Bombyx mori: one gene and its partners. The protein of the gene in region 2 binds, or shares a complex with, the protein of the main gene of each other region. Links are inferred from orthologs where the notes say so. Each region holds a gene or a part of one and is shown on either strand. Other genes may lie near its edges.

What was found.
Region 1: GATOR complex protein NPRL3 (region 2) and GATOR2 complex protein MIOS share a complex: the UniProt entries of both Drosophila melanogaster proteins name them as parts of the GATOR complex. The link is inferred for Bombyx mori from reciprocal best matches to the Drosophila melanogaster genes Nprl3 and mio.
Region 3: GATOR complex protein NPRL3 (region 2) and sec13-like protein share a complex: the UniProt entries of both Drosophila melanogaster proteins name them as parts of the GATOR complex. The link is inferred for Bombyx mori from reciprocal best matches to the Drosophila melanogaster genes Nprl3 and Nup44A.
Region 4: GATOR complex protein NPRL3 (region 2) and protein SEC13 homolog share a complex: the UniProt entries of both Drosophila melanogaster proteins name them as parts of the GATOR complex. The link is inferred for Bombyx mori from reciprocal best matches to the Drosophila melanogaster genes Nprl3 and Sec13.

What each region holds. Positions count from the first base shown.
Region 1 is NC_085114.1:15,837,782-15,845,505, forward strand, and holds part of GATOR2 complex protein MIOS, read right to left. Parts: intron 7,615-7,724; coding exon 7,434-7,614; intron 3,212-7,433; coding exon 3,023-3,211; intron 2,589-3,022; coding exon 2,450-2,588; intron 2,377-2,449; coding exon 2,238-2,376; intron 903-2,237; coding exon 701-902; intron 1-700. UniProt on the Drosophila melanogaster protein: An essential component of the GATOR subcomplex GATOR2 which functions as an activator of the amino acid-sensing branch of the mTORC1 signaling pathway.
Region 2 is NC_085124.1:9,498,513-9,506,185, forward strand, and holds the end of GATOR complex protein NPRL3, read right to left. Parts: intron 7,402-7,673; coding exon 6,729-7,401; intron 5,955-6,728; coding exon 5,761-5,954; intron 4,707-5,760; coding exon 4,552-4,706; 3' UTR 1,919-4,551; downstream 1-1,918. UniProt on the Drosophila melanogaster protein: An essential component of the GATOR subcomplex GATOR1 which functions as an inhibitor of the amino acid-sensing branch of the TORC1 signaling pathway.
Region 3 is NC_085125.1:13,428,958-13,437,394, forward strand, and holds the start of sec13-like protein, read left to right. Parts: upstream 1-3,951; 5' UTR 3,952-3,998; coding exon 3,999-4,133; intron 4,134-4,313; coding exon 4,314-4,470; intron 4,471-5,282; coding exon 5,283-5,436; intron 5,437-5,860; coding exon 5,861-5,968; intron 5,969-6,289; coding exon 6,290-6,406; intron 6,407-7,306; coding exon 7,307-7,465; intron 7,466-8,437. Other genes in the region: uncharacterized protein LOC101745951, read left to right, coding at 1-1,460. UniProt on the Drosophila melanogaster protein: Probable component of the nuclear pore complex (NPC). Involved in maintaining the localization of another nucleoporin Mgtor to the nuclear envelope of early meiotic female germline cells.
Region 4 is NC_085131.1:3,991,308-3,999,540, forward strand, and holds protein SEC13 homolog, read right to left. Parts: upstream 5,159-8,233; 5' UTR 4,342-5,158; coding exon 3,772-4,341; intron 3,383-3,771; coding exon 3,011-3,382; 3' UTR 2,945-3,010; downstream 1-2,944. Other genes in the region: DNA polymerase epsilon catalytic subunit 1, read left to right, coding at 143-315, 1,235-1,367, 2,339-2,506; uncharacterized protein LOC101741756, read left to right, coding at 5,159-5,230, 5,309-5,368, 5,438-5,611, 5,691-5,834, 5,914-6,276; small GTP binding protein RAB8, read right to left, coding at 6,921-7,022. UniProt on the Drosophila melanogaster protein: Functions as a component of the nuclear pore complex (NPC) and the COPII coat. At the endoplasmic reticulum, SEC13 is involved in the biogenesis of COPII-coated vesicles.

The DNA of each region.
Region 1 (7,724 bases), on a different chromosome or scaffold from region 2:
ACTGCTATCGAAAGGCACTATAATTTGGCGTTATGTTGCGTCAAGGAGCGTTGGGCTCGTCTAGTCAATTTGTGTGACATGAAAAGAGCGCGACGTTAAAACGCCGCGTTAAGAACGTGTTCTGTTTGACGAAGCCTTAAACGATAGTTGTTAACGAACGAGGCGCTGCCGCCCCCCCCCCCCTCCACGTGCCGCGGGACGCGCGCCATTTCATTCCGCCGCCGACCGGCCGTGCGATCACGCGCGCCCACTTCATACAATTTTGTTGGCGCGTCCATCACCAAGAAGCCTCCGTGATTTAAGAAAAAAACACGCGCGGCCATAACAAACAATTTGCTGCCGCGTGTAATTTCAAGAAGCCTCGTTAACAATAGTTATAAGTTCGATCTGGGTTTTTTGATTTGGGATTGACAATAATTGATTTAAAATGTTTATAACTAATTAATATAAGAAGTTAACGTTTTTTTTTCTCATTGCTCACGAGTGTTTCTGAACCCATAGACATCAATAACAAAGATGCCGCCACCCAGCTTGAGATATGAGTTGTGAAGTTCAGTTCTATAGTAGAACTGCTACCCCACTCTTCGAATCGGAACGTATTACTACTTCGCGGCAGGGGGGGGGGGGGGCGGAGGTACCGGTAACGTAGCATTTCATCACTATATGAAGTATGTAGGTCGCGGGGGAATGTTGTATTTACCTTCATCTTGGCGGCGGGCGGCGGAAGGCGCGCGAGCGGCGGGCGAGGCCGGGCCCCCGCGGCCGCCGCCACGGACTTGCCGCAGTAGGTGCAGGCCACGCACACGTGGCGCACGGCGGCCGCGGCGCTGCCCCCGCACACCCACGTGTCCAGCGCGCAGCGAGCCCACCACAGCCGCCAGCCGTCCAGCAGCCCGCGGTAGCTGCCCGTTACACACAACACTTCGCATTACTCTCTTCACAAGACTGCACTGCTGCTGCCGGAGTGCCGTCCTGTCTCAACGAGTCTATAGTCCTCGACAGCCCGCGCACGACACCGAGCACGCGGTGCGGCAGCCTGTCCTACCCGTCTGCTCCAATAATCGCTTGTGACTGAGAAAATTATAAACTCTTTTTTGTGAGCCCATCTGATGTTAAGTGGTCACCGGCGCCCGTATATGCAGTCTTCTGGAGACGTCGACGCAAGGTCGACAGCATAAATGATTCCACACATTCACATATTTTGCGGGTACCACTTTAATGTCCCTGTTGCTAACGGTGGGGTCAAACTGTAAAACTGTTCAATAAATGAAAACCAAATTTTCCATTAACTATAGTGTGCGCGGAAGGGCTAGTCACCGCCTGCTGTATGCGAGCGGCAGGGCGGGCGAGGTAGACAAACGTCAAGCTAACTCAGTCTGCCGTCGACCACCGCGGCGGTTGTACGATACAGTTGTTCTTGCCAGTTTGTTCCAAACATACACGAGATAAAATATCCTAAGATGGGTCCACCAATAACACGATCAGTGTAAAATGTAATTTACAATGTGCACAATTTTTTTTCTCAGACCGTAATTAGAATTGTAGCTGAAGTAAATTCGAATCGGCAAACATCGGAAAAATCAAAATTTACTTCTCCATGAAAACCTAAAAAAATAAAAAAGAGAATCTACATTGATGATTTCGACATGGGGGTATTACGATGGAAAATTCATAAATTTTTGTTGGTAAAAAAATCAAAATAGATAAATAAATAATTATTTTTTTATAATGTACTATAATGGTGATAGTTTTTTTTTTTTCTTTTTAAGAAATGTTCATTTGCTTATAAAATTGTTTTGTTTCGTAATAAAATATAATAAACACTTTTGAATATGCATTTTTTGTTTAACCAGGAAATAGAAAAATACAATATTAGAATTAGGCACCCATTACATTAATTCTAATATGTTATTCTGAGATTTATCTGCACTTAATATAATATCGTGTGCGTCTTGTCAATCGCGCTCTCCCCCGTCTCACCCCGCTACATACCTCAGGAGATGACCAGCGTTTCCGCGCGCACTACAAGTGCACTGTTATACAAGAATGTAATAAAATAATTTGACACTACCATGAACGCACGGCGCGTCTACGTATTGAATTAGGTATATACAAATCACAATTTAATGCCTCTTTTGCTAGCGGTGGGGTCAAGCCGTAGAAATGTTCAATCAATTAGTAAAAATCTATGATACTATGATAGTTGATGTGGGTCGGTGTGGGGCAGGGCGCGGTACCTGTCGAGCCAGTGCTGCACGTGCGGCAGGGCCAGCAGCTCCGGCGTGAAGCAGCGCGCGGCCAGCAGGGCGGCACTCTGCACGTCGCCGCTCGCGTCCAGCCAGTGCTGCAGCAGCGCCGCGCCCTCCGCGCCGGCCCCTGGACCACAACACCGCGCAGTGTAACACACGTGTACCGAGCACATCGCCGGGGTGGGCAGCCCGTCCCTCACCGGTGAGCAGCACGCCGGACAGGTCCCCGCGCTGCACGAGCGCGTCGGCCGTGTGTCGCACGTACTCGTGCAGCTTGCCGTCCGACAGGAACATGCAGGCGAAGGCCACGCGGTCCTCCAGCCGCATCTCCGTCTCGTTCTGCGGGCGGCGCCGCGGGGCAGATGGTACTCGATTGTTTTTAATCCGTATTATGTTACGAAAATGTTAAGAAATGGTTATTTTAATTGTGTTGTCATAACTCTTATATTGTTGCCAGATTTGTTTATTACATTAATGAATCACTAATGATAAGTGATTACCAAAGCCCAGAGTTCGCAACGAGGATGCGAGCCCCCTTGAGACTTGAACTCGGAGTCTATATGATATGGTACAACGGCTGCCCCGTCCTCCAAACCTGAACATGTGACCGGCGGGATAGTGGCACCTAATGTACGCTCCCCACAAGCGTTAGTTGTTACTTTAAATTGAATTCTCTCACTGCGATAGACGTGATACTTCAAGTGACGTTTAAGGGACGCATCAAGGGCAAGCGGGTTGGGGGAGCGGGTCGCGTTACGTCACAATATACTGACGAGCACGGCGGACAGGTCGGGCGGCGCGGAGGGCGCGTGCAGGGCGGGCGGCGCGGGGGCGGAGGCCGCCAGGAAGTGCAGCAGCCCACGCAGGTAGGCGTCGGGCAGGGCGGAGGCGCCGGCCGCCAGCGCCTCACGCCACAGCCGCTCCTCGCTCAGCCCCGCCAGCGCCAGCCCCACCACGCGGAGCTGTTCCAAACAACCGTAGTCACATATCACGAGGAAATACTTTATTTATTTATTTATTTAATACAAGGAGAACCAACAGCCAACTAACAAAGTATAATAATATAACAAATAATAGAAACAAAAAGCCAATTAAAGGTTCTCACCAATATAAACAAATTAAAAACACTAGAGAAACAAAAGCATAGAAACAAAAAAAAATTAAAAACATTCAGCAAGCAAGAAACAACATAAGGAATGGAGGAAAACACCAGACTAATTTAAATGTACACTTATGTATAAATGTCACAAATTAATTAAAAACTGTTGTGCTACACGTCACCGGCACATGGCCCCGCACCCTCTGCCCCCTCATCGCCCACGAAAAATCGGGCACTAAGCTGACGTCTAAGTCCTGTGATAGAGGAATAAAATGGGTCAATATCTAAGAACCTGCCAAGTCTGTTGAGGTCACCACCAACACGTAAAAAGAATGAGTTTTGCCTATAGTTAGTGGAAGCTAGTGGCAAAGAAATTAGATTTCGATGCCTTAAAGATATTCTCTGTGCATTGAAGCCAACTTTGGATAAGAGCTCCGGGCAATCCACCAAACCTTTAACGATCTTTAAATAATATATAATGTCGGAAACCCCACGCCGCAAGTAAAGAGGAAGTAGATGATGTTTTTTACAAAGGTTATCATAATTATTAGAGTTATAGGCAATATTTAATTTAAAACAAAGGTACTTTATAAATTTACGCTGAATTCTTTCAATTCGTTCTATATAGATATTATATTGAGGATTCCAAACTTGTGAAGCGTATTCTAAGTGACTGCGAACAAAAGTACAGTATAGTATTTTAATAGTTTTAGCTTTACGAAAATGTTGAGAGTTACGCATAACAAATCCAAGCATTTTGGAGGCTTTAGTCACTATAGAGTTAACGTGTTCATCGAATGTGAGTTTGCTGTCATGAACAATACCTAAGTCACGTGTACTATTAAGTTTAATTAGTTCATGTTCATTTAGTTTATACTTGTAGGCTATTTGGTTGATTTTTCGAGTGTAAGTAACAACATGACATTTAGTTGGATTAAGATCAAGTTTGTTTAGTAAACAATAATGACAAAGACGATCTAAATCAGATTGCATTAACTTGGCATCATTGATGGAAGCAACCTTCATAAAAATTTTCATGTCATCAGCGAAGCAGAGAAGGCGTGAGAATTGAAAGCACTTAGTGATGTCGTTAATGAAAATAATAAAAAGCAAGGGCCCCAGTAACGAACCCTGAGGTACGCCACTGGGAATAGGTACCCAAGCAGAAATATAATTGTTGATCACGACTGCTTGCGATCTCTTCTCAAGATATGATATAAACCATCGTAATAAGTCGCCACAGATTCCTACGTTCTGTAGCTTTGAAATCAGAATAGAATGGTTAATTTTGTCAAACGCCTTGCTATAATCTGTATAAATTACATCAACCTGTTTACCACTATGCATGGCATCAGTAAGATAATCATTTAAGATAACTAAATTAGAAACAGTCGATTTATTTTTTAGAAATCCATGCTGAGTTGAATTAAATACATTTTGCAATGCCGCGTATACTTGAGTATAAATAACACGTTCAAATATTTTTGAAATAATACAAAGTTTGGAAATTGGTCTGTAATTGGTAACCTCGAACTTAGAGCCTTTCTTATGTACTGGGCTAATAAAGGCCGATTTCCATATTGCTGGAACAGTGCACTCATGTAAAGAACGCTTAAAAAGAAGGTATATTGGCAAAACTATGCCATCAGAGCAACCAACGATAAATCTGGCAGGCAACTGGTCTGGACCAGCTGATTTAGATAGATCAAGATTAAGAATTAACTTATGTATTTCGGCTTGGTCCAAGTAGATGTTGTTTAAGTGAGAAGTTGCGGTGAAATGCTCATCGGCTATTCTAGGTGTCAGATTAACAGAGATATCACAGTCAAGAAAAGTAGATTGGAAATAGTTAGAAAATGCACTGCAGACTCCCTCAGCCGAACTTGAGATCACATTGTTATACGAGACAGATCCTGGCATTGAATTACACTTAGACTTTGATTTAACGTAGGACCAGAACTTTTTAGGATCATTTCCTATTGAAATTTCAAGAGAGTCAATATAATCATTGTAACAATTAGTTTCCAGTACTCTAACCCTGTCCCGAAGCACATTAAAAGAGTTTAGATCAGATTTATTTCCATAGTTTGAATATTTACGTTTATATTTATATTTTTCTTTGATAGCTTTTTTAAGAGCAGCTGAATACCAGACTGGGTAATGATCAGAGCCAGTTACGCGAGATGGTACATATCTCTCTTTGAGGTCGTTAACTGTCTCATAAAAATAATCAGTACAGCCCTCCAAAGATCTTGACTGAAACTCAACACACCAGTCAATATTATTAAGCTCTCTATTAATTGACAAATAATCACCTTTATTGAATCGATAGTTAGTGCGCGGTGCAGTTCTTAGAGTTACAAGTTCAATACATTTGAACGTAATACAAAGAGCCTCATGATACGGATCAATCGGGACCATTGGATCAACACACTTACTCACAACCAATGATTCATTTGAAAATACTAGATCCAGAATCCTATCATCCTTATTAGTTATCCCATTGTACTGAGCAAAGTCGTGAACATGCATTTCATCCACAAGCAATAATTCATCACTACTACGAGCATTATAAGGTGTAAAGTAACCAAGATTAGACGGCAGCCACGTAATGCCGCTCAGATTAAAATCACCAACAAGTAGGAATTTATCAAGTGAATTATCCAAAACAATGTTGGTGAGTTTCGTAAGATAATTAGTTAATTGTTCAGAGAAAGATAACTTAGAACCCTGTTTGCATAAGTATAATACACATATATGCAGTTTAATAGTTTCACGTTTCAACTTAACGATGAGTGTAACCCACAAATCTTCAACCGATGAGTTAAATGACGGCTGCAAACTAACTTTTAAATCTTTACGAGTCGCAATCAAAACACCGCCACCCCGAGATTGACCCGTAAGGTCACTGTTCCTATCCCTACGCCAAACTGTATAATGTTCATTAAATAATTCGCTATCTAAGATGCCATCAGTCAACCAAGTCTCAGTTAAAATAATCACATCATAAGAACACAATAGCAGGTTACGGCTAAACTCAAGAACTTTCGTCCGAAGTCCACGAACATTTTGGTAGTAGATATGAATACTATTCAGGACTGATTCATTGTCCATTGTAAGAAAATAGTTAATAACATAGTAAGTAAAATTAATATTACGCTGTGGTAATTTCTAGACATTAAAATTAAATAGTAAAAGTGAAAATAGTAAATTAAATTAAATTGTAGGTAGTATAAAAATAGTCGAAGAATATAACAAGTACCAAAAAACCCCTGACACTCTAGATCAGCGTTAATAAGCAGCAGATATGCAATACATTCGTGAAAGCAATTCAAATATATGTCAGTAATGACAACCTCAAACAGACAAGCAACGAGATATGAGAACAATAGCGGCAAAAGGCGAGGCGCCGGCCAGTGAATAACAACATGTGTTGTAAACATTTGGACCACGATTATAATTAATAAGTGTACATAACCTACGTTCAGTGACACGTGAATTTGCAACAAAAATTTACTATAGAAACTAATACAGAATACAAAAAGTAATAATAAGACACAAGCTAAGTCAATTTACGCCGCATAATTCAGCGTGGATCATTTCTAGCGTCACTAAGCCCTGAACTGGAGAGACTGGGCTGGCCTGTGAAGCAACCGCTTGCGAAGGGTTTCTGCAAGCAGAACACTTCCATGCCGCCCTTCTTTCGGGGCCCAGTTTTCTATATCCAGCTTCTGTAATATTAGCGCATCCGAAGTCAAAATGCTTCTTGCACGTACCGCATTGAACACCATCACTGAATTGGATCTTGCACAGGTTACAATTCTTCATTGTCAGAAAAATAATAAATTAAAGGCGACCAAATGTTCTCAATATCTGAGAAAAGATCGACACACTCTTCACAAACAACACGTCTTGCCTCGCTAAATAACTGTTCCTAACTCGACGAATACTTAAAAATATTGAATACTTGATTTGGGCTAAAGTATTAAATTACTGACCACAAAAATTAAAATTAACCTAAAGGGCCGAAATTATATGTGTCTTTGTACATAGCAGTGTAATGTCGGTCCGTGATGTGTACGCACCTGCGGCTCGTGCGCCCGGGCCAGCACGTCCAGAGCAGTCCTAAGCCGGAGGTGGAAGGCGGCGAGTGCGGCGGCGCGACACGGGGTGCCCTCGGCCTCGGCGCGCTCCACCCCCGCGTCCGCGTTCTCCCACCCCCACCCCCACCCGCACAGCTGCAGTGCACGAGTTCGCTCTGCACTCCTGGGATAGCCATCAGAACATTTACTCATGCAGACGAGCTACAGATTTCCTGTCCCTAACACGGAGACGACAATGGCCATCCACTTTAAGACACAAAGTCTCAACATTAC
Region 2 (7,673 bases):
AATATTTGTTGCTGGTCAATACACAAGCTCCAACTTACTGTTCAAATGTATGTACAACCAATTATTAATTTCTACTGTAAAATTTGATGTGATATGTTATAAACAGTAAAACAGCCATTCATAAATTAGTTATTGAGACTTTAATTTTGTATTTCCTCTGTATTATACTACCTACTGGTAGTAGAATTCTTATTCTATGATTTTTATACCGCCCAAAGGGCTGTTTATGTATTTATATTAATAAAAAATACTTTAGATAAAATAACATTAATATTGGGATGAATAATTTTGTTACTAATTACCTGCTGAGTATTTCTGTCAAACATAGTTATTCTGAATTTTTCTATTGTGTCGCAATGTGAAACAGATGGTTGTGTGTAACGTACGACAATATCAATACAGCTTTGTGGAGCGATCACACCCTCTGGGTCGATGACTGTAAACTTGTTTGGTGACGTACATAATACTGAAATTAAAAAGAACCACGTTACGATAAAAAGCTATTCAAAGAATCCGCACAAAAAATATACGAATTTCTCACCTTTGAAATTTACAGAGAAATCATAAGGATTGTAAACAGTTAACAACTGTTTATGAGTGTGTCTGGCGTTAAGGTAAAATTCTAAGGAAACAGGAAATACAAACACTGGAAAATTTTTCATATTTCATAGAAAGTTTACTTTTCTATTTTCTCAGGAAAACAATAAGCCAATATGTATTATGTACGTAATATCAACAATAACAAATTTCGTCGACTCGTAAAATTGCACAGATTTTGACAGTTACGTTTACGTATTTGACGTTTGTCATTTTAGTTGTTTGATTCGTCCATTGGGTAAGCAAAGGCAATTTATAGCGCAAACAATTTTTTTTTTTTAACAAAAGCCTTTTGTACGAAATGGGGAATGGAATGGAATTTAATGAGGTTAGTTAGTACAAAACTGTAGGTGCTATATGAAATGAAATAATGGAAACTTTCAAGCTCAATGAACTCAATCGTGTTTTTAGACCTCGACGTCCGACCTGTTCATATTTCCTCACTAGAGCAGTTTTATGGGTGGTAAATAATCAATAAGCCACCAATTGCTCGTGTGAACCAGAAGTAATATGAAATTAACAAAAAAATAAAAATATAAAGAGGCTTAACCGTCAAAAAGCACTTGGTTATTTTAGATAGTAGTATTGGTTACATTTATGCTGTGCACGAAAACCAAAAGTTAAACAGGTTGTATAATTAAGTAAACTTGTTACATAGTTTATGTAGTAGTGGTAAGTAAAATTAAACTTTACAACAATCGTCCGTAACCACGAAAACTGTTCGAACATTAAGATGAAAATAAAAACGCGAGATAAGATCATAGTTTTAATTATTTCCACGACTGGTGAAAACCGAAGAAAATATTAAATCTGTTACCAACGAACGAGATTGGTAGTGCTTTCGCCAAAATACGTATCACTTTGATCCTCTGTGAAAAGCACAGCTGTTCTTTCAAAGCGAAAGATCTCCTTTTACAGACGCAGGAACATATGAAGCCTTCACTCTGATTACTTTTTTTGGCCAATTTTCGTTTAGGGTAGGAAGGTCGAGTATCAGGGAGTCATCCTAGGTATCTCCATAGTCTTCAGAGCTCACTCTGTATGAGACCGCCATAGCACCACATTCCTCCTCGCCAGACTACCCAGTAATCTACAAGTGCAGTAAATTGTCCTTTCTAAAGTGACATTTTGCAAAACTTACCTCAGGTTGAGCCTGTGAGCTCACCTACCGGTCTGTGAGTAGTCGGAATAGCCTCTTATACTATCAGCGATTGGGAAAAAACTTGCATTCCCCCTGAATATAACGCGATCTGTGCTGATTGATTCAAGTGATCCACTTTTACTTTCAGAAATGAAATATGGACTAACAAAAAAAAACAAATTTACAAAGTATGTAATTGTTTATTTTATAAATATATTTGTTTCAGAACATTTTTTAGATTAGCTGAATAACTTAGATGGGATAATGGAGTAGCTCGATATAAGGTTAATGTAAGTTATGGTACAGAAAGTAGTAATGTAGGTTATGGTACAGAAATTCAACTTGACTGGTGCCTATTAAAACGTATCTGGCATATTATATACAGGCTATTATACACAACTATACTCGCGTTTGAAGACAAATGTACCGTTAGGGAACAATACATTTTCTGGATAACAAATATTCTTTTATCGGGGGTAGGGAATACGTACAAAATGTCATTACGATCGGTTGAGTAGTTAAAGACTTGAAAGTGACTCGAACGAAACCTCAATTTTTAACATCAGTTAATTTACACGTTTCAATCTACCAATCACAAAACGCTTCTAACACAGAAGAGTTTGCTGTAACTGATTTTCAAATTTTTATTTAATTATGAATAATGAGATTTTACTTCTGAATGATTCAAAATTTTCATCTTACAAAGATAAGATTGGTAAAGTAAGGTTTTTATAGAGTACAGTGGGTAAGTACAAATAATAATCATCATTGAGTTGGATAATGTATTCGAAACGAAAATTTCACTCGTAGGCATTTACTGTTTTGAAATATATCTTTAATACAGTATAAATAATTTACATTTTATTAGGAACTGGAAACTAAGACTAAAACATAAAACGGTACAGCCTCGGTTTTTCAAAAACACCTAAGTTGGTGTCACTAGACATCCACTTTTTTTAAACATGGTGTTGTCAACCCGAGTTCTCGAACGAGATTGCACAATTTTAATAAATAAAAAATATATGTATAATTTAACGTAAATTCTATTGAGCTAAAGTTCATAAAACACAATAAATAAGATTAGGATGAGTTTTGATTGACGCATTATTAGGATGATATAATTTTATTTAAAAAAAAAAATAAGAATTTATGGCCAGCATATCAATATTTTATGAAGAACAAACAGAACATTTCACTTTCATCATCATCATCATTTCAGCCTATCGCCGTCCACTGCTGAACATAGGCCTCTCCAATAGATTTCCAGTGCGACCGGCCCATTGCCACCTGCATCCAACGAGACCCAGCGCTTTTTACTAGGTCGTCGGTCCATCTAGTAGGTGGCCGTCCCACACTGCGCTTGCCAGTACGTGGTCGCCACTCCAGGATCTTTCTGCCCCATCGACCGTCCTCTCTTCGTGCTATGTGGCCGGCCCATTGCCACTTCAGTTCACTAATTCTACGGGCTATGTCAGCAACCTTCGTTCTTCTACGGATCTCCTCATTTCGGATTTGATCACGTAGAGAAATGCCGAGCATAGCCCTCTCCATAGCTCGCTGCGCGACTTTGAGCCTTCTAAAAAGATCCCTAGTGAAGCACCACGTCTCCGAGCCGTAAGTCATCACTGGTAACACACATTGGTTGTACACCTTTGTCTTAAGGCACTGAGGTATTTTGGACGAGAAGACGTTGTGCAGTTTACCGAACGCTGCCCAGCCGAGTTGGATCCGTCTACTGACCTCTCTCTCAAAGTTGGACCTACCTAATCGGACTGCCTGTCCTAGGTATATATATTCGTCAACAACTTCACTTTACATAAATAGAATTTTACTAAACGGTGAGAAACCGGCCTACAAACATAGTTCACCTTGGTCAGTACTGTAGCAGCCCTCAATGTGTTCTAATGGACAGACTGACAGATATATTTTTTTGCACGTAGAACATTTTAAAAAAAAAACAAACTGGAATCTTATTGTCTTCGAAGGCAACTAACAGGGGATTGCAACTAAAGTATGTTGGATTGCTTTACATTGCATCAATAAAAAAATAGATTTTAAAGATCGAGAAACGAGAAAGAACTCTTTGAATAAATAACATTTTTAGCATGGTGATTATAAACGAAATTTCTTTTGGAGATCAGAGGCTATGATCGCTTTAGTACCTTTGGGGCATTAAATTCATAAATAATCGACGACCAGTAAAAATTAAAAACACAAGCGTTCGTACTGTTTCTTCTCATTGTCTATGTCTTCGTACGTCTTAGATTCGATCGATCGAGTCGAACCATGGTACAACTTATTGGGAGTTCACGGAATGTTTATGTCATGGTATCATCAACGTGGAACAGCTGACGTGACTAGTGGCTCTACACAAATGACTTTGTTGTTCATCATGAAAAGTAATCAGTCAACTCAGTATCGACAGTGTGTAAACTACATAATCATTTATTAGTCTTTCATCATTCTTGGAACTCGGTAGAAGCATTACTTTGTACTGTTTCTTGTTGTAAATTGAGCATGATTGACATATTAGGTTTAATCAAAGTTTAATGGGTATATCCATTATTTTATATTCCCACATGCACTGGCATCATCTACAGAGGGCAATATGTAAGGTCTAATTATATATTGTATACGTCACTGATTACAAGACTGAAGATAACGTATGACCGTGAAGTAGAGACTGGCAGCTCAATGTTTTCGACTTGTCATTTTATCATATTGAGCTATACGATTACAAATAAAAATTTACATTTTCGCAATTATGCTCAAAGGCTTTAGAATACAATCACTTTGCTTGCTTCGGCGTACGCCTATTGATATGGATAGAGCATAGCCACAGCGGGATCTTCTGTTTCAAAGGTGATGAGTACATCTTTGAATTTGTCTAGAAGCTGCATTAGCTGTGAACGACTGACGTTCTCCATAAACATGATCTCTTCTAAATGCTGCTCGCCGCGGAAATAGCCTGAAAACAAAATATTATACTAATAAATTTAAAAATGTAATAAAATATTAAATAGCAGATGCAATGAACACTATTACATTCCAAATGAAGGTAGATAAAGCTCGTTTATGATTTTTTTTTAATTGGGCATCCTAAATTTGATATTCTAATCTATTTTATTTTATTATCCTCCTCCTCGCGTCGTTTCCTCACTGCTGAGAGTCGTGACCATTATAATTCGACATGACTTTACTCCTTGTGATGTCCCGCCAGCGCCTCCGATCATTGGCCGCATGAAGGGCGTCGTGGAATTTTATTATAACTATACGAAATAAATCATAATATGATAATGTTTACATTTGATTATTTGCGTAATTACAGATTGTAGGAAGTACTTCCCACATAGGTCAGTACTCCCATTGTGCCTGTTTCAGTAGCGAAGCAGTAATGCGTTCCGGTTTGAAGGGTGAGAAACCGTTATACTATACAAATTTAGATTTAGACCTATATTGTCTCGACATCTGCTCGGCTGTGAGTTCTTAAATTCTATGTAATAAATAAAACTGATTCGGCTGTTATAGTTGTTTCACACTATCTGTGTTGCACGTCGGTTATTTTATGCCAGGAACTTTTATTAGAGGTTTCAACTTTATCGGTACTCGCTAGGCAATGGCTGACGTCCATGGGCGACGATAACCACTCACCGTCAGGTGGGCCGTATGTTTGCTTACATGGGCAGAAAAAAAAATGAATTAGCGAAAATAGGAAAGCACTTTTTTTATTTTTATTGCTTTGATGGGTGGACGAGCTCACAACCCACCTGGTGTTAAGTGGTTACTGGAGCTCATAGCCATCTTCAATGTAAATGCGTCACCCACCTTGAGATATAAGTTCTAAGGTCTCAGTATAGTTACAACGGCTGCCCCGCCCTTCAAACCAAAACGCATTACTGCTTCACGGCAGAAATAGGCAGGGTGGTGGTACCTACCCGTGCGGACTCACAAGTGTTCCTACCACCAGTAAATAAACCATATAACGTTAAGCGTCACTAAGGTTTCTGAAATGTTATGATAACCTTTCTTATGTAGCTGGGCTAGCAGCAGTAAGTCGTCAGTGTTGTTCGAGGCGGGAATGTGGGACAATACGGTTCGCTCCTCTGCCGTGAACGTGTGCAGTAGGGACTCGGTGGACTCCGGCTCGGCGGGCGCTCGGCACGCGTCGGTGACGTCACAGCTGGCCGACCCGCCCCACACCGTCGGCGGCTGGAAACTGGGAAACATCGGTCTTATTTCTATACTGAGCCGGTACGGGAAGCTCACAGTTCATCTAGTGTTAAGTGGTTACCGTGACGCATAAAGATCAAGAAAGTAAATACCGTCACTTGAGACATAAGTTTTAAGTCTCAGTTTTATAGTACAACTTCGTTCCACCTGTCAGGCGGGCTTACAAGACGCCCTACAACCAGCAACAGAGAATCTACACAAAACCATAAGATTGTTTGGCATGTAAGCCTCTTACGTTGCGCTCAAGGGCCTTGTTAACCATTCAATGAAGTCGTCGTGGCCTAAAGGATAAGACGTCCGGTGCATTCGTGTTGAGCGATGCACCGGTGTTCGAATCTCAGGCGGATACTAATTTTTGTAATGAAACACGTACTCAACAAAAGTTCACGGTTGACTTCCACGGTTAAGGAATAACATCGTGTAATAAAAATGAAACCGCAAAATTATAATGTGCGTAATTATGGGTGGTAGGACCTCTTGTGAGTCCGCGCGGGTAGGTACCTTCACCTCGCCTATTTCTGCCATGAAGCAGTAATGCGTTTCGATTTGAAGGGTGGAGCAGCCGTTGTAACTATACTTGAGACCTTAGAACTTAGATCTCAAGGTGGGTGGCGCATTTACGTCGTAGATGTCTATGGGATCCAGTAACCACTTAACACCAGATGGGCTGTGAGTTCGTCCACCCATCTAAGCTATATAAAAAAACGTAGGTAATAAAGTCGGCTATTAATCTAAGATCTAATAATTAAAGTTAGCTAACCTCATTTCGCTTTGCAGTTTCAAATTTAAAGAAACCCCGTTCTTCTTTTCCGATCCGTTCGTCAAGCCGTTCGTTTTGGTGCGCGGCGAGACGTCCTGGTCGCTCTCGAACCGGTCCTCGTCGCTGCTCGTGTTGTTGGCGGCGTTGTCGTTGTCCTTCAGCGACAAATCCGACAGCCTCGAAGGTAGGCCTTTCGATTTATCATCCGAGGTCAAGGTTTCGCCATTGGAGAGTTCAGCGTGACTAGCGTCGTTGCCGTTCGCCTCTATACTATTACCGGCCGTGCCGTTTATGTTGTTAGAGATGCCGCTGTCCACAGAGTTGCCGTGTTTCTTTTGTTTATCAATTTGATTATCGTAATCGCAACCGTTCGTTTTGATTCCGTCGACAACGTCGATGCCGTCGTCGAACGAATGATTCGCCGAATCATTTTCGTGAAATTTCTCGTGTTTCTTTCGATCCGAATCGATTATTATTGGTCTGGTGTGAGAGAAATCCGTTTGATTGAGATTGTTTTCGGTGGGGTAGTCTTCGTCCGAATCGGGGAATATGGTGTTGTCCCTGGGCTCGACGGGCTCAGGTACGTTGAGTTGCATTTGGTTCAGCGAGGAGAACGACACGCTGCACGATCTGTTGTATATGTCGTGCTTTTCGCAGTAATACTCTTTGCCGTCTGAAAAGTAAAGTGTAAAGTTTTAAATTTACTATCTGTATATTTTTTTTAAAACACCATAAAAAACGTATGTATGTGTTTTTGTAAAGGATTGTTTATTGTTACATTATATAACAGTATTGTATTTCAAAAATCCTAAGATAGCACTTAGCTTTGTGTATTGAATATATTAGGAAAGGAAAAAAAATTACATTATGTTTAAGTTTACCACCGCACTGACTGAAATCATTGACTTAACTTTCTGCAAAACTGTTCATTCAAAAGCCATTAGA
Region 3 (8,437 bases), on a different chromosome or scaffold from region 2:
GCTTAGTTGAAATATTATCTGCAGCGGATCACGACGTCCGGAGTTTACAGCATTTATCATTAAAAGACAGTTGGTGTGCGAGTTTCCACCGAGATGGCCATCGTAACATAGCCGTAGGCACCAAGAACGGTAATGTAATGATATGGGACACGAAGAACCGAAGTGTCATAAAAACGTTTCCAACACCTTCACACCAGTCTGCTGTAAACTTCGTTAGCTACAATGCCAAGAATACTAGTTTAGCAGCGACCATGCAAAATGGCGACACGGTCATTTACGGTCTTGTATCAAACATTCCGGTTCTAACGGTCAAACTGCCTTGTTCGAAAAGTATTTCGGCGATGAAGTTTCATCAAGATGCTCGCTCGCTGTTGGGGCTAGCAACCGATGAAGGCCACATCGTGCTCCGAGACGTAACCACGAATAAAGATAAGGTGTTCTTTGAAAATGTACACGGGGCTCCGGTCAGTGATATTGCGTACTCGCTGATCAATCGAGACGTTATGTTTTCCTGTGGCTACGATAAAATCATGCACGTTTATGATATTCGATTACAGAACATAGTTTCGACTATTAAGGCTGCTTACACATTGACTTCCCTGGCCGTGAACACAGAAAACCAAGTCGGTTTCGGTACGAAAAATGGCGTAGTCCTCATATACGATTTGAGAGATTTAACTATTCCATTCAAAATACTTAGAGGTCACGAAGATGAAGTTAGAAAGGTTACTTTCCAACCTTTGCGAAAGATGGCCTTCTCAGCTGAAATCAGCCTGCGAGAAGATACTGAATGTCTTTCGCCAACTAAAGTACACTCCCCGGTCCGTACAAGAACTTCGGATATGTTTTTCATAAGCGACACACCCCCAAAAAATAATCTCGAAATATCTAATCAAGGTGATGCCAAAGCAGATTCATTTCTTGTCATGATGGGACTGGATAAATCGAACAATGATTTTGATGATGAAGGCAGTAAGTCTTTGGACCATGAAAGGAAAAGTGATAGGCACGAAGCAAGGTATCGCCAGTTGGACGCTGAAAAGAACATTAGTAAGATATCTACTCCTTTAACTAGCAGAACGATGGATAACTTAGTGTTTCCATCCCCTTTACCTTCCAACGGACTTGCCGAAGAAGCTCGGATATCAAATACAAATCTACCAATCAAACATTCTAGTTCTACTCCTTGCGTTGACGTAATGGAGAATAAATCCTTAGATGAATTAAAAGATTTTATTAAACTTACACTGACCGACGTCGCAGATGACAATAGAAATTATTTCCTGCACATCATGATGGCTCTGACAAAACAAAAATTATATTTAGAGAAACAACTGTCCAATATGAATGAGCAGATTCAGAATCTAACCTACAACCAAGACGTTTTAGTTGAGACAAACAGAAAACTGGCTTTAGAAATTGATCAATTAAAAAAGAGAACTAGCTTTAATAAAACTTAGAAAGTTCCAGGTGTACTTATAAAGTTTTGGAGCTCTAATTTATTTTAAGCAAAAGTACATCAAACTTCATAATACAATATAGGAAGTTTGAAGAACTTTAGCTAAACTTACACACACTTATTATTATTTACAATTATTTATATTACACAATTGTTATTTAACAGGTTCATACTACGGTTTTCACATTTCACGAGTTGTCGATATTTCGGCGTGTTGCAAGCGTCACGGTCAGGCATAGACTGAAGATTGCGGGTAGGATGTTAGGAGCAAAACAAAAAGTAAAGTAGACATTACTTATGAAAATACCAAAAAAAAAGTAAACATTTTTTTGCCAAATTAATAGTAGGATTAACATTGAAGTTATTTCTGCTGACTGCGAATTCATTTATAAACGCTTGTAGCATCATTTTAGTAATTTTTATGTCTCCTTTTATGCCATTGAGCTGGGTAAGGGATCTGATGGTATTAAGCGTTGATCGTCGTCCATTGCACTATGAGAAAGTCGTCTAGCGGCTGTGCAGTCTTTTAGGCGACCGGAAATAGGATGGCAATACCAATGCGTCCCCACAATACATCAGTATCTACCGGTATAGGCGCGTCACTCAATACGAATAAGTTTTGTCCCTAAAAGAACTGATTTTCAGAACCATTCGAATTCATTTTAAGTTTGTTAGGACCTATTAACAGACGTTACACTGTAGCGTCTCTAAGCGATGCCTGCCACTTATTATCAGCTGAGCTGCAATCTCAATTGCCATATTTTATAAAAAATTAATGAAATGTTGTTGACTTTTCATAATCCTAGGTAGAATATTTTTAAAACTGTAAAATAATAATTGAAAGACATTTTGTTAATTTTAATATACTTATACACATATAAATAATAGTTGTGCCAAATTTAATACCGTTCGTAAAATTACGGACTTAAAAATTTCCAATATTTAAATTATTTTTTGTCTCTTTCGTTGTGTTTGTAATGTAAATTAAATAAAGTAAATTTGTAATAAATATTCCGGCATCAATACCTAATAGTATAGGGTCCTTAGGAACGGATTCTTTGTAAGTAATTTAAAAATAATAAACATAACATATTTTCAACTCCTCTTTTTATTTAACAAATGTTAAATATTATCATTGAACACTTAAAGTGTGTAGTAAATTAAAAAAAAATACGTAATTGTCTATTTGACAAATTGGTCAAGTTATTGGAGATCTGTTTAATGAAAATTATCACACTCATAATTAGTTAATCATATACAAATTTTGCATCTATCTAAATTGTTCTGTTTTCGTGTTTATTTTGACAATAATGTTAATAATTGATGTATTTTTGTGTATGAATTTGTTATATTTATAAATAATATTAGCTTCCTTGTTAATCTATGTAATTAAATTAGCTAGTACACTACTAATTTTATTAAATGCCTATAATTTTTAATTGTTTTTTTTTTCAAAGTATATCATGAGCCTTTTCACACATCTATAGATCTTAGTGTAGGAATGGTAGGTAATAAATACGACATCGATGTTGGGAGAAAAACATGGTAAGGCGGGTACTAACGTCTAACGAAAGACCACTGTTATTTACAGCATTGGTCTTCCGTCGTGTGGGGTACGAACTGCTTGAATTGCTTCCCTTTTATAAATTATATATTATAAATTATTATTATCTATGCTGTTTTCATTCATGGACTGAGGCTCTTTAACAAGTTTTCCCAAGTTACCACAAGTTTCTCCCATTTAATCTACATGGGTGCCACTCCGGGAAGGACCGCTTAATTGCTGGGGATGAGATTAAATCCTTTATCGATATCCTGTAAAACAATTGTGGTGACCTAAAGAATAAGATGGACAGACAGACACAAATGAACGAGTTTTTGGCGGAAACGCCAGGACCGAAGTTGTGTGTATTGTTTTTTATTTAATTTAGTGTTTCTTCAGGCTTAAAGGCTTCGTCAAACAGAAAGCGTAATTAGTGCGCGTCAGAGCGCTACGCTATGACGCCGAGATGTGTTGTACTACTATACTATGAGCGCTATAGCGCTGGCGCTCTGTTTGACGGTATAATACCGTAGTAGTACAATACATCTCGGCGTCATAGCGCGGCGTTAGTTTAGCGCTCTGACGCGCGCTAAGTACGCGTTCTGTTTGACGAAGGCTTAAACGTGTAGTAATGGTGCTTTAATTACTGTTTTGCATCCGTAAAAGCGCATGTGGGAAAATGAAACAGTCGCTTGACATGGCTTTTCGGACTCTTCCAAAAAGTCCACTAAAGTCTCTTTAAATAACTGTCATTTTACTGTGACTTTATTTCATCCCATCTCACCTCATTTTATTTAATTTCATCCATATAATCTTTCCCTTTACGTTGTTTTTCATTTAACAGAATATAAAAAAAAATTGTCTGTATGAAGTGATACTTTCGCCTTTCATATTGAAAAATGGAATTATTACTGTCATTAATGTCATTTTCTGTTAATTTGAGGTTATAAATTGGGATTAATGTAACGGAAAAAACACTGTTAGTTCATAATAACAATGAGTGAAAACATAGCTACGAACCTTTTCGAGGCCCAAACGATACATGCCGATCACAAAGACCTTATTCACGATGTCGCGTACGACTTCTACGGGGAGAGAATGGCCACTTGTTCCAGTGATCAATACGTAAAGGTACATTCTTTATATTATTTTTAATTAGAGTACGTACCTTTGTTTTACGTACGTATAGTTGTAAAACGTGGTAAAATGAAATTTTTTTAGTCTTCTGGTAATTCACGAAAGCTTTGTTGCTTCGTAGTAATAAGCAATCGTGAAAGTTAATAATTTGGAATATGTTATTTTTTATCTTAGATATGGGACACAGACGGGCATGGAGGCTGGCGGATGACAGCGAGCTGGAAGGCTCATCACGGCTCTGTTTGGAAAGTTACATGGGCCCACCCAGAGTTTGGACAGGTCATTGCGACTTGCTCCTTTGATAGAACAGCTGCTATTTGGGAGGAAGTGGGTATGTGGAACCATTTGTTCATACCATTTAGCATTAAATTTATTACTTTTTCTAGATGAGTTGTTTTATAATATATTTTATGTATAATTAGCTGACCTGGCAGACTTCGTAGTGCCTCAATCAATAAATAAACTAAACTTTTGTATAAAATAAACCTAAAACAAAAAAAGGAATCCTTCCGGCGGGGGACATATTAAAGGAAAACAAAATTGTTATTTTTATTTAATTCTGAGCATTTTTATATTTAGCTACCTTTTAAACTTTCTCTGGACCTCTACAAATAATACAATACCAAAATTAGCCAAATCGGTCCAACCATTCTCGAGTTTTAGCGAGACGAACGAACAGCAATTCATTTTTATATATATAGATTATAGTATATTCTTGTAAGTTTTAGCCACAATTTACCCATTTTTTGCAGAATGTAAGGTGTAGGGTGCCTGCTTTTCATAGTTTTGCATCATGGTACATTCAATGTACTTCTGAAAGCTTTCATTAGTTTTTTGTGTTTGGGTAGACAGACTGAGATCTTAGATCCCATATCACTTAACATGAGGTGGGCTGTGAGCTCGTCCACCCACCTAAGCAATAAAAAAATTACATTCTAGGAAACCTAGCTTGGAAGTTGCAAAATAATATAAATTTTAACAGACATAAAGTGTGAAAAACTGTGACCAAAGAATGGCCTATTTAGTCATCACTAGCACCATCACTAGTCATGCAGAGATATACACAAGCCAAGTGCAGAATAGTAGGAGTATATAGTTCAAAATGATTGGTTCAAATAAATATGTATTCAATATTGTATTCAGGTGACACCACAGCAACAGGCTCTGAAAAGAGTTTACGTACATGGCTGAAGCGGTCAAACCTCGTTGATTCAAGAACTTCAGTAACAGATGTTAAATTTGGACCTAAACATTTAGGTCTACTACTAGTTACATGCTCAGCTGATGGCATTATAAGGTATTATGTTGATCCATAACACTACACATCAGTAAAACCTCCTGGTACTACTTATTTCAAGCATAAACTGATAGCTACTACCACCCTGCCTATTTCTGCAATGAAACAGTCTCGTTTTCTAATTTGTAGGCTGTTTTACTAGATGGTTAAGAATTTGGGTCTAAATGTGAGTGATGATTTATGTAACAATATTGGCAGCTACTAATGTAATCTAAGCTGTAAGCATTACCTGGTTTTCTACATTTTCAACAATTAAATTCAGCTAATTACCATTTTTCATTTGAATTAATTCTGTGTCGTTCTAGATAAATAGTTGACCTCAGAATCCACATAAGGCTATGTTGTTACTGGTATAGCAATACTGCTCTTCATCTTCTCACTTTAATCTGTTTGAAGCGAAAACAACATTCTGTTTGATTTACAGAATATATGAGGCTCCGGATGTGATGAATTTGGCACAATGGACCCTCCAGCACGAGATACCGACGAAAGTTTCAATTAGTTGTTTATCATGGAACCCTTCATTGTCTAGGTAGGTATGTATTTTTATTATAATTGGATGTAGCAAATAGCCCATCTGATCGTAACTGGATATAGTCACTTATGGACAACAAGTAGTCAACAACAACAGTCAACAACAACAACAACAATAATAACGTGTAGTCAACAAAGAGCTCTTTTAAGTCCCCAGATACTCATAAAACAGCAGGGAATTTAGTTTAGAGGTTGAAAGTGAGAGTAAGAGAGAGTTTTTGGGAGCAAATTGTGTTTTTACTGTGTAAAATAAAACTGTTCTGTTGGCTTGTATTAGTGACTTTTTTATAATATCTTCAATATTGCATTTTTTTTCTAGGGTAGGAAACCCACCAATGTTGGCAGTAGGCAGCGATGAACCTAACACAACAAATGCCTTAGCATCAGTACCATCTGATAAGAGCACAGCTTGTAATGGAAAAGTTTTTATTTATGAGTAAGTATTAATTTATATGTTGTAATCCATGTATTAAATATACACTTTTACTTTTATATGTAAATATCTAAAATACTTATTACTTGAAATAATGATAATTCTAGACAGTGACTTGGATGTGCCCCTGCCATTGACAATGTCTACTGTTAGCAGTGATTTAAAACTATCAGTTTTTGTATTGTATTTGTAGTGAATGTAAACATTTGGCTTCATTCATTTACTTGATAGATTTGCAAATTTTTATAGTTGTCTATAGCCCAGGGAAGATTTTTGTCATAGTTTGGAGAGTATACGACAAAAGGAAGATATTCAACCGAGCGGGTGACAGACAGTCCGAATGTTGATGTTCAGAACTTGTATATATGCAAGTTCCATTCCCGATCCTGCGGACAGAATGGAAAGCAGTCGACGTCGCCCCAAACACGTCATTTCGGATCCTCCCGATCCACTAACGGTGCTTTTAGGTACCTCAAGCACCGGTCATTGTTCTCGTCGAACCCGTCGCTTGCGACGAAGGGCTCGACGAGTAAATTAACCCTCAGACACAGCCCACTGAGTTTCTCGCCGGATCTTCTCAGTGGGTCGCGTTTCCGATCCGGTGGTAGATTCTGCGAAGCACGGCTCTTGCTAGGGTTCGTGTTAGCAACGTCATCAGGTTTCAGCCCCGTGAGCTCACCTACTAGTTAAGGCGAAGCTGATATAGCCTCTCAAGGCTATCAGATTAGGTGGGAAAAAATAAATAAATATGCAGGCTTATCTTGAAAATGTCGTAAGCCAGATTCAGGCATCTAGCAAATATCTTGTGTTCTGTGATGGCTACCCGCCACAATGGTACCGCTGTGTACGTAATAAAAACTCTTATGAAGCTAAACAAAAAAAATTAATTAAATTTGTGTTCAGATACAGTGAAACGTCTCGTCGTTGGACGCGAACGGACTGTCTGTCATCCGTCCAGGAGCCGGTCAACGACCTCGCCTTCGCTCCGAACCTCGGCCGCTCGTTCCATCTCCTCGCCGTAGCCGCCAAGGACCTGAGAATCATTAAAATCGAACCACTTTCGTGAGTACTTTATTATCTTGTCATTGACATGACTACAGATGATGCAAAGTGTAAAATTTCCGTTAAAATTCACAGAAGGGCCGGTAAGCATATCGACGCTTGAAAGGCAAACGTGACTAAGCGACAATAACTGCTTTGTACATAAATGATAGGCAATAACCGTATTCAATGCGCAAAAAATATATATTACTAGGTCTATTAAAATAATTTCAATCCTACAGCTAGATTCGTTAAAATAGATTTTTTTTCAGGTATTTCAACTTTAAATTAGTCTACTGTAAAGTTCACGCATTGTCGCTTAGTCATGTTTGCCTTTCAAGCGTCGATATGATGATAAGGTACCGTTTGAAAAATATGGTTCATTTCTGCGGCACTATAAACAGAACACCAGCCCGATGGTCAGATCTGGTTCAGAAAGTGGTTGGTGGTAGTGAGAAAGAGAGAGAGAGAAAGAGAGAGAGAGAAAGAGAGAGAGAGAAAGAGAGAGAGAGAAAGAGAGAGAGAGAAAGAGAGAGAGAGAAAGAGAGAGAGAGAAAGAGAGAGAGAGAAAGAGAGAGAGAGAAAGAGAGAGAGAAAGAGAGAGCGAGAAAGAGAGAGAGAGAGAAAGAGAGAGAGAGAAAGAGAGAGAGAGAAAGAGAGAGAGAGAAAGAGAGAGAAAGAGAGAGAGAGAATACACTTTATTGCACACCAAAACACAATTTACATTAAAAAACGGTCAAAAAGCAGATAGATTTGTAACAATAGGCTAAAATCGATCTCTTCGAGACAATCGTTTAACTTAGAGAAATTCTGGAAAATATAAAAATATAGCAGGTATGTTAGTCTATAACCATGCGGTCCATGTCATCTACGACCAAACACTATGGAGGAAAGTAACATGTGGTCACGATCTTTAGCGGTGAGGGAACGATGAAGACAGAATAAATATTGCATTACTTTTGAGCACTTTTTTTATTGCATAGATAGGTGGAC
Region 4 (8,233 bases), on a different chromosome or scaffold from region 2:
GTTATTCTGATAACTTTCAGCGCCTTTTTTAAAATTTACCCGGTTGCTACAGTAGCGCCACCCTTATTTAGCACACACAGCGTCGGTTCTCCTTACCTCTACCCTCCATGCACCCAGTATAGATGTGACAAACACCTGACAGATGACGCTGGTGCGGCGCAACCTGCTCCGTCTGATCGGCGTGGGCGAGTTCAGCAGCGCGGCGGAGTGGCGCGAGCCGTGCGCCGCGTGCGTGCTGACCGAGCTCACGTGCCGCGTGTGCAACCACTGCCGCGACCTCGACCTGTGCAGGGACGCGCGAGACGACACGGAACGGTAACCTTTTTTTTTTCGGGCCTGGGCCGAACCTCCTACGATGGTATGTGGGACTTGACGATCTGCAAAGTGTTGGGAGCAGACCGCGGGCCCAAGGAATTTTAGGGCCCTACCGCACTAAACGACTCCCCTGCACTCTTACACCCGACGTCCGATCTCCGTCCGGGGTCAGAACCCGGTCAGAGTAGGAGGGTTCCCGCGGTCAACACTACAACCAGATACGCGACGCTACCCCGAGGACGCCCGACCGACGGGTCGTCGAGGCGATAGTCGACGGAACGGTAACCGACCCAACCCCGCACCAACCACGATTCAGTGATAATTCAAATAACCTGTTTTAGTAATAATTCGAAAGAGTTTATGCTCGTATGCCAGTCTGCCTACAAGGGCAATAAAAAAAATTCAGCGAATGATGAATTTAAATCGATTTGAATCGAATCGAATTTTAGCCGAGAACACTAATTTATTGAAGTGAAACTTCTTTAGGTACGTTAAAAGTAAAATTTAACTCTCTACAGATTTACGGCTAGAAAGATACAGATTTTAGGAACAGCGAGATTGAGAAAATAGATAGCGTCTGGTGAACCACTCGACTCGGTGGAGAGAGGGAAACGGCAAAGGCGAAAGTTCCTATTACACTATCACTATTACAAGAGAAAGATTTAAGAATGAAAAATGAAGAAAATCACAATACCACACAACACAAAAGAAGTTTCACTTCTTTCACGTGCACCAAGTTGCACGCGTACCATTTTTATTATTTTTATTAATGAATATTAGATTAAATAGTAAACAATGTTTTTGAGAATAATTAAGTGACCAATCATCTGGCCAAACATGTGTTTTGTAGATTATGAGAGAGCTGAAATTTCAGTATTTCTAAAGCACGTGTAGAACATTGTGTTATGTTTATTTTCAGTCCGGCGTGTTTATGTCCAACTTGTGGAACAGCATATGATAATCAGGAAATAGAATGGCGACTAATCGAGACGATGAACAAACGTACGATGGCGTATACGCTGCAAGATCTTATATGTAGCCGATGTCACCAGGTATTAATAATTAAATATTACACATTCATTGTTCGAGTATGCACACCCGGCACCCACCATTATCGATGTAAGTTTTAAGGCTGCCCAGACGTAACAGCGCCTAATAAGTATGTTAGCACTATAGGAAACACTGCAATGGAGTGTTAATTATTTCAATCCCACTTCGATAAAGCGGCACGACACGAGAACCCTCTCATCGTGGCCGCCGGTAACTACATTCCCGATCCTGCGGACAGAATGGAAAGCCGTCGACGTCGCCTAAAACACGTCATCTCGGATCCTCCCGATCCACTAACGGTGCTTCTAGGTACTTCAAGCACCGGTCACCGTTCTCGTCGAACCCGTCGCTTGCGACGAAGGGCTCGACGAGTAAATTAACTCTCAGACACAGCCCACTGAGTTTCTCGCCGGATCTTCTCAGTGGGTCGCGTTTCCGATCCGGTGGTAGATTCTGCGAAGCACGGCTCTTGCTAGGGTTCGTGTTAGCAACGTCATCAGGTTTGAGCCCCGTGAGCTCACCTACAAAAGTTAGGGTTACGCTGATATAGCCTCTCAAGGCTCTCAGCTTAGGTAGGGAAAAAAAAAAAAAAAAAGAAAAAAAAAATTTCAATTATTCTGTGACTAAGCTAAATCGAAATACCCCATAGCCACATCACAAAATGACTAAATGAGGAAGCCCATCTCAAAAGCTCATTATTTTTAATATTTTACTACAATAATACTATTTTCATAGAATAATTAATTTTTAATGATGGTGTGTAAAAGTCAACTACAGCTTTCTATTAAACCTCCTTTAGTAAGAAATAACATTCTTTAGCACTCCGAGTAAGAAGTTGATGTGGTTCTTTAAAGGAAGAAATAAAGGAATGTATACCTTATGGGATTGTGAGCAGACTGCATATACATATATAAAGACTAGGAAAAAATGTTTGGTTACTTGCGGAATTTGAATCTATGTATATTTCTTCCAGGTAAAACGTGAGAATTTGTCTGTGGTCTGTGATTGTGCTGGAGATTTTTCGCTGATGGTTCCCGTAACAGAGATCAAAGACCAACTAATGACTTTTAAGACAATAGCCGAATATTATCAGATGCCATTATTGTTAGAACAAATTGACTTTAATCTTAAAAACATGTGATAGTTTGTATTTTAAGTATAATTTTTTTTATATATATTATGTCCCTTTGTTTTATTTCTATTGTCACAAACAATTAAGACAAGAACCCAAATATTTTTACCTATTCTAGTTATTCTGGCGACATATGGCAACATACTTTCCAAGGTGAAAAGTACATTTCTCTAATTTTTATTTCCATGTCAAGTATACATGTGAACTTTTCTCTTTAAACTAAAAATATCTCTTTAAATTCTATAAAATATACTATCAAATTGAAAATTATTGTGTACATTGACAATAGTGACTTCATCTCCTCAGCCCATGTTCAATACATACAGTAATAATAATCATAGCAATTTATTTAAAACCTGTTAGATATGTCACAACCCAATTATTGGATTATCAAATTGAATATATAGATTAAATCTGGGTTTTGATGAAGTTTATAAAAGATCAGTGTTAATGTACATATTTTATATTACTATTAGCAGATTACAAAATTAACAAATGAAATTAAAAGCAAATTCAAAGTGTGCTTCTTTCATCATTGGGTGTTTGGCCCAAACCTTTGGCAACTTCACTAATACATAACCACTGGCCATCAGTGCTCTCACGCCAAAGGCTGACTTTGTTATCTCCTCCTGATACAGCCAAGATGTTGCCAGTGAGAGACCAGCTAACACTCCATACTACATCATCAAATGTGTTTAATATTGTTGGTGTCCAAGATACATTATCATCACTAGACCATATGACAACCCTCTTGTCTTGGGAGCAGCTGGCAATCATGGAACGTTGTAATCCCAGAGAGGGTGCCCACGCTACATCTCTGACCCAATCAATGTGCAACTCTAATCTGTTCTCTTCAACCCATTGATCACCTTGCTCTCTCCAAATCTGAAAACAACAACCGGAATAACTAACTAAAAAAATTATAATTAAGAAGCATTATGATGTCATTAAATAGTAATCATTAAATACAGGGTTTATTAAGAACATATCGATAATAAAGGACAAGGTAATTTTAGGTAGATATATTAAAAAAATTCAACTAATTATTGTTGAAATATATCTATTTTCATTTAAAATTAACTAATGCATGCAATATATGATATTGTGAAAAGAAAAATTGCTGCCTTCTTTTTTTGCCTTATAAATAAATAACCCGGAATAAATCACACACATTCATCTGGCCCCAAATCAGGATTCTCTGTGGCGCAACAGTTAGGAGTGCTAACTACTGTAATACAGAGTCAGTAAACAATTAAACACAACTTGTAACATACCTTGATTAAATTATCACACCCTCCAGTAACTAATCTCTTTGGAGCATCTTTATTGGTAAGCGGATCTAAGTTCAAATCTGCAGATAAAGCTGGGCACCAACTAATAGAATTAACACCAATGGCATGTGCACCCGTTATCTTTTTTACGTCCCAATTACCAGTATCTTGTGAATATTGTATGATAGAGATTGAGCCATCTGAACTACAACAAGCGAGGATTAAGCCGTACTCAGCCGGCGCCCACGCAACAGAGTTCACAGAGCTTTCGTGTCCAGTGTATTCGTATAGTTTAGTCCACTCTCCAGACTCTTTCCATATGATAACTTTCCTGTCATAAGAGCATGACGCTAATAGGTTCCCATACTTGGGATGAGCCCAAGCTACCTGCCACACGGGGCCAAAATGACCCTTCAAATCAGCAGCCAATGTTTGTGTACCATTCTTAATGTCGTATATTTTCACTGAATTATCCGAAGAACATGTAGCTAGTTTTAGTCCGTAATAATCCAGTTCGGCGTCGTGTATCATATCTTCATGGCCGGTATCAATAGTATTCAAAACAGTGATCATTATTATATATTTTTATTAACCTACACAATACACAACGGAAAATGGGCAATCAACTGTCAAATCAGTTGACGTGGAATTTCAACAGTGCTACCAGTAAAATATTTTGTATCCATCCACACGAGCTATTTCGACATTGCAAAGACAGTCGCAGTGCGTCACCTCTAAACTTATTAGGTAAGTTTAACAATATAATAATAAAAAGTGGCAGAATTAAATTGCAGCTTCAACATACGCGACGCTACAACTGAATTATTCTTTTTATCAATTTTGTTATGGAAGCTAGAGATTTTCTTGATGATTCGAGATTATTGATCACATAGCTCCAACACAGTCTACAAAAAAGCACAAATATTTTAGTGCCAGAATGCCGCTCGTGTGTTAGAGGTCATAAATTACCTCTTTGGTATTATTTGTTAACCTTAGGTTAGCACAATCTTTGGTTAAGTTATTTATTTCTTTATTACTTTTTGCGCGTTACTTATGAAGTATCTCCCAAAAGTTTTAAGCATTTATATTTATAGCTAAACCTAAACTGTATGAAGATACTTTTATTGACATATCAAGACTAGGCCTCAAAAAAATTAAAAAATCTATGCTTTATGTAAGTAATAACCAAAGATTAAACACTGTGTCAGGTTACATTTGGTAGTTAACCAAAGATAATAAAGAGCTCTAGTAGAATCAAACAAAAATTCTGACAAGTCTGAAGCTGTTTTTTCTCTCATTCATCTAAATTCAGAATTGGATTGAAAATATTGATGAGCTAATTTACGAAAGTTTAAGAAATTATGAGAATTTCGTATCTGTAGACATCAAAATGTCTCAAAAAGAAGGAGGAATATTTTACAACATGCAATATTTATTACAACAAGATTATCGCGGGGTTAACGTATGTAGATAATTACAAGTTGATGTTGATAATAATAACTTTGTAAACGAAGCACTATCATCTGATTGTTGTTTACAGATAGCAGTATATGCTCTAGCCACCGCTGGTCTCGCCATATCTGTTCATAAGATTCGCCCTGTAAGTATTTGTTTAAAAAACCCTATATTAATAATTACATAACTATAAATAATAAAATTACTTCGATAGGTTAGCAAGTTTTCGAAAGCCAGTAAAGTTCCAGATCATTTCATCAGAAATCATGAACCTTTGAAAGGATTATATGCTGGAGTGCAACATTCACCAGTTCGTGTTCTGGTCAATCACAAAGCCCCAATATATTTACCGCTATGGCATTCCAGTAAACCTCCACTACCAGTTAAGGTAAATGTGATAAAAATATAACTTGTACGAAAATTTACCTACAAAGTAATAAAAATATTTTCTTTTTGTTTTGTTTTAGCTGTGGGGAATTGAAGTAGTTAGTGGGAATGCAGTCAATTGGCTGGAATGTGTTGCTAGGGGCCAGCAAGTGACATTAAAGCCAATCGGAAGAGATAATGATGATCTAGTTTCTACTGTATTATTGCATTTACCTCAGCCTAAGGTATATTTCAATTTAAACAAATTCAACAAAATACCTTAAATTATTAAAAATTACTCTTCAAAAATGTTTTCCATTTCAGAGTAAAGATGTTCAAACATTGGATATTGGTAAAAAATTGGTGGAGCTTGGATTTGCAAAAGCATCATTTCCTAAAGAATTAAAAAAGAATACCATTGAGTCACAAATTGCCCCTGCTCTATTATCAGCAGAAGCACAAGCAAAAAGCCTCAGAAACGGCATTTGGTCTGAGAATCTCCCACCAATTCCAGCATATATCGTTTATTGGAGAAAAGGTTCACAGCTTACTTTGGAGTTATTTGTATTGACAGCCAAGAAGTTACTGCAACTGTTAAAATTTACCACCAAAAGTGCTTTAATAGGAACAAAGAATTTAATATTAATTCCATTCAGGTCAAAACCTAAACAAGTACAAACATCATGAAATGAAAAACATTCGTATAAAGTCTAGTTCAGAAAAGAACCAAATGAGTTATTACAATTATAATTATTCGGTTTCTCTTCAAAACTAGTGATGTTCCTTCCATTTATATAGTGAAATAAATTATCTTTGTATACATTTAATGTTGGTAAATAAAAATTACTAATTCGTTACTTAAATTGGAATTTTATTGAAACAAAATAGATTTATGTAAAAAAAGCTCTTTATTCAAATTAAATAGTGTACATTTTATATTACATTAAAATATATATATATAATATATAATCTTAATTTAAAAAGTAGCAAAAGATAAAGTACAGCTAAAATAATCTATTGAAATAATATCCTTTTACCATTAAAATTGATATGAACATAACACCGTGAAATTTTAAGTTTTTAAATACAAAATCAAATTACAAACCGATTACAGATAATTTAATGCACAATACTGTTTATTTATTTTCAAAGACGAAATTAAGTATGTATTCGTAGTCTTGGATATAAAAATACAAAAGCAAGTCTCATCCCCGCAGGAGGTCAACGCACCGTCAAGTAAAGTAGGTAGAAAAATATAGTCAAGGTGGGCAGTTCAAAGTACCACAATGTTAGAATAGGGCTGGGGCGGGGGTCGTAGTGTGCAGACGGGGTCAAAGCACGCTGCAACGCGACAGCCACGTCACCGGCTTGCGAGCGTCGTTCAGCGTCGGCTTGTGGACGCCACTCCTACCGCCCGACGGATTACTCGCTTCCTATTATCAGAACAACAATTTAGCATATTTCCACTAATAACATTAACGAACAATCGTGATCTATATGTTACGGTAATGCCGGCCACTCACATGCGGGCAAATATTCGTACATAGTACGAATGTTTGCGCGCATGTGAAGGGCCGTCAAACATTCATTCGCAAACTTAGCGGCTGTGCAAATGGGTTCGGTACTCAATTTGCGAACCCGTTTGCGCATCCTCTTACACTTGTTCACGAATATCTCACGAATTTATCCTCCTTTTTAATTCGTCAATAGAACATTGAAGAGAAAAAGAGTTTTGAATTTTTTCCCAGACATCATTAACAGCCATGCTGTTTTTATGGGATTTCTTTTGATGAAGATACGCTACACAGTAGACGTCACGAACTATGAAAATGGCGATACTTCCGTTACCTCCGCAATCGTCGACGCAACTGGGCAAACGAATGTGTGTGAGACTACGCGAAGGTTCGCGGTTCGCGCGCTTTGATGTCTGTTAAAAAACCGACACAGCTTGGAAAACCACGAATGCAGCGAAAACTTTGCATAATCATTTGCAAAATTAAATGTCGTCCTACACTTGCGGGTTTGCGTATTCGTGCGCATGTGAGTGACCGGTGTAAAAGTACATATTGCGGCAAATGTACACATTTAACGGTAAATGTGCACAATTGCCTCCTCGTTTGGGTAATGTACATTCAACTAACATTTACAATTTCAAAGAAGGGAAATGTACATTGAATTCACAATGACCATGTCGTTTTGGTAAAATATGTGAGCGTGGCATACAAAATACAAAATCGCCATTGCCAGTAAGTGTACATTTCCCAAGAGTGTACATTTACCGTAACATATATAATATATTAGTTGTGTGTTGTTTAATTTCAGCTTTATTCTCTATAGGCGCGTTTAGGCAGTGGAACTCACGGCTCTGCTGTGTGCTCGTGTGGAACGCTTGCCACCAAAGGCGCTGTTCTAACTGCATACAAATTTGAGTTAACTTTTACGTTATCGAGAACGTTAAAAACTCGCACTATGCACTCTGGACTTGAACACAACTCGTGACTGCTGCTCGCCTATCATGACGTATCAGGTCGAAGTCTCATTTGATTTTAATAGCGGCTATCGTACGAATTGGAATGCACGACTTCTTCAAAAATTGTTCCGACGCGTTCGGTCTCAGAACGTTCTCTGTGGACCACCAGCAAGA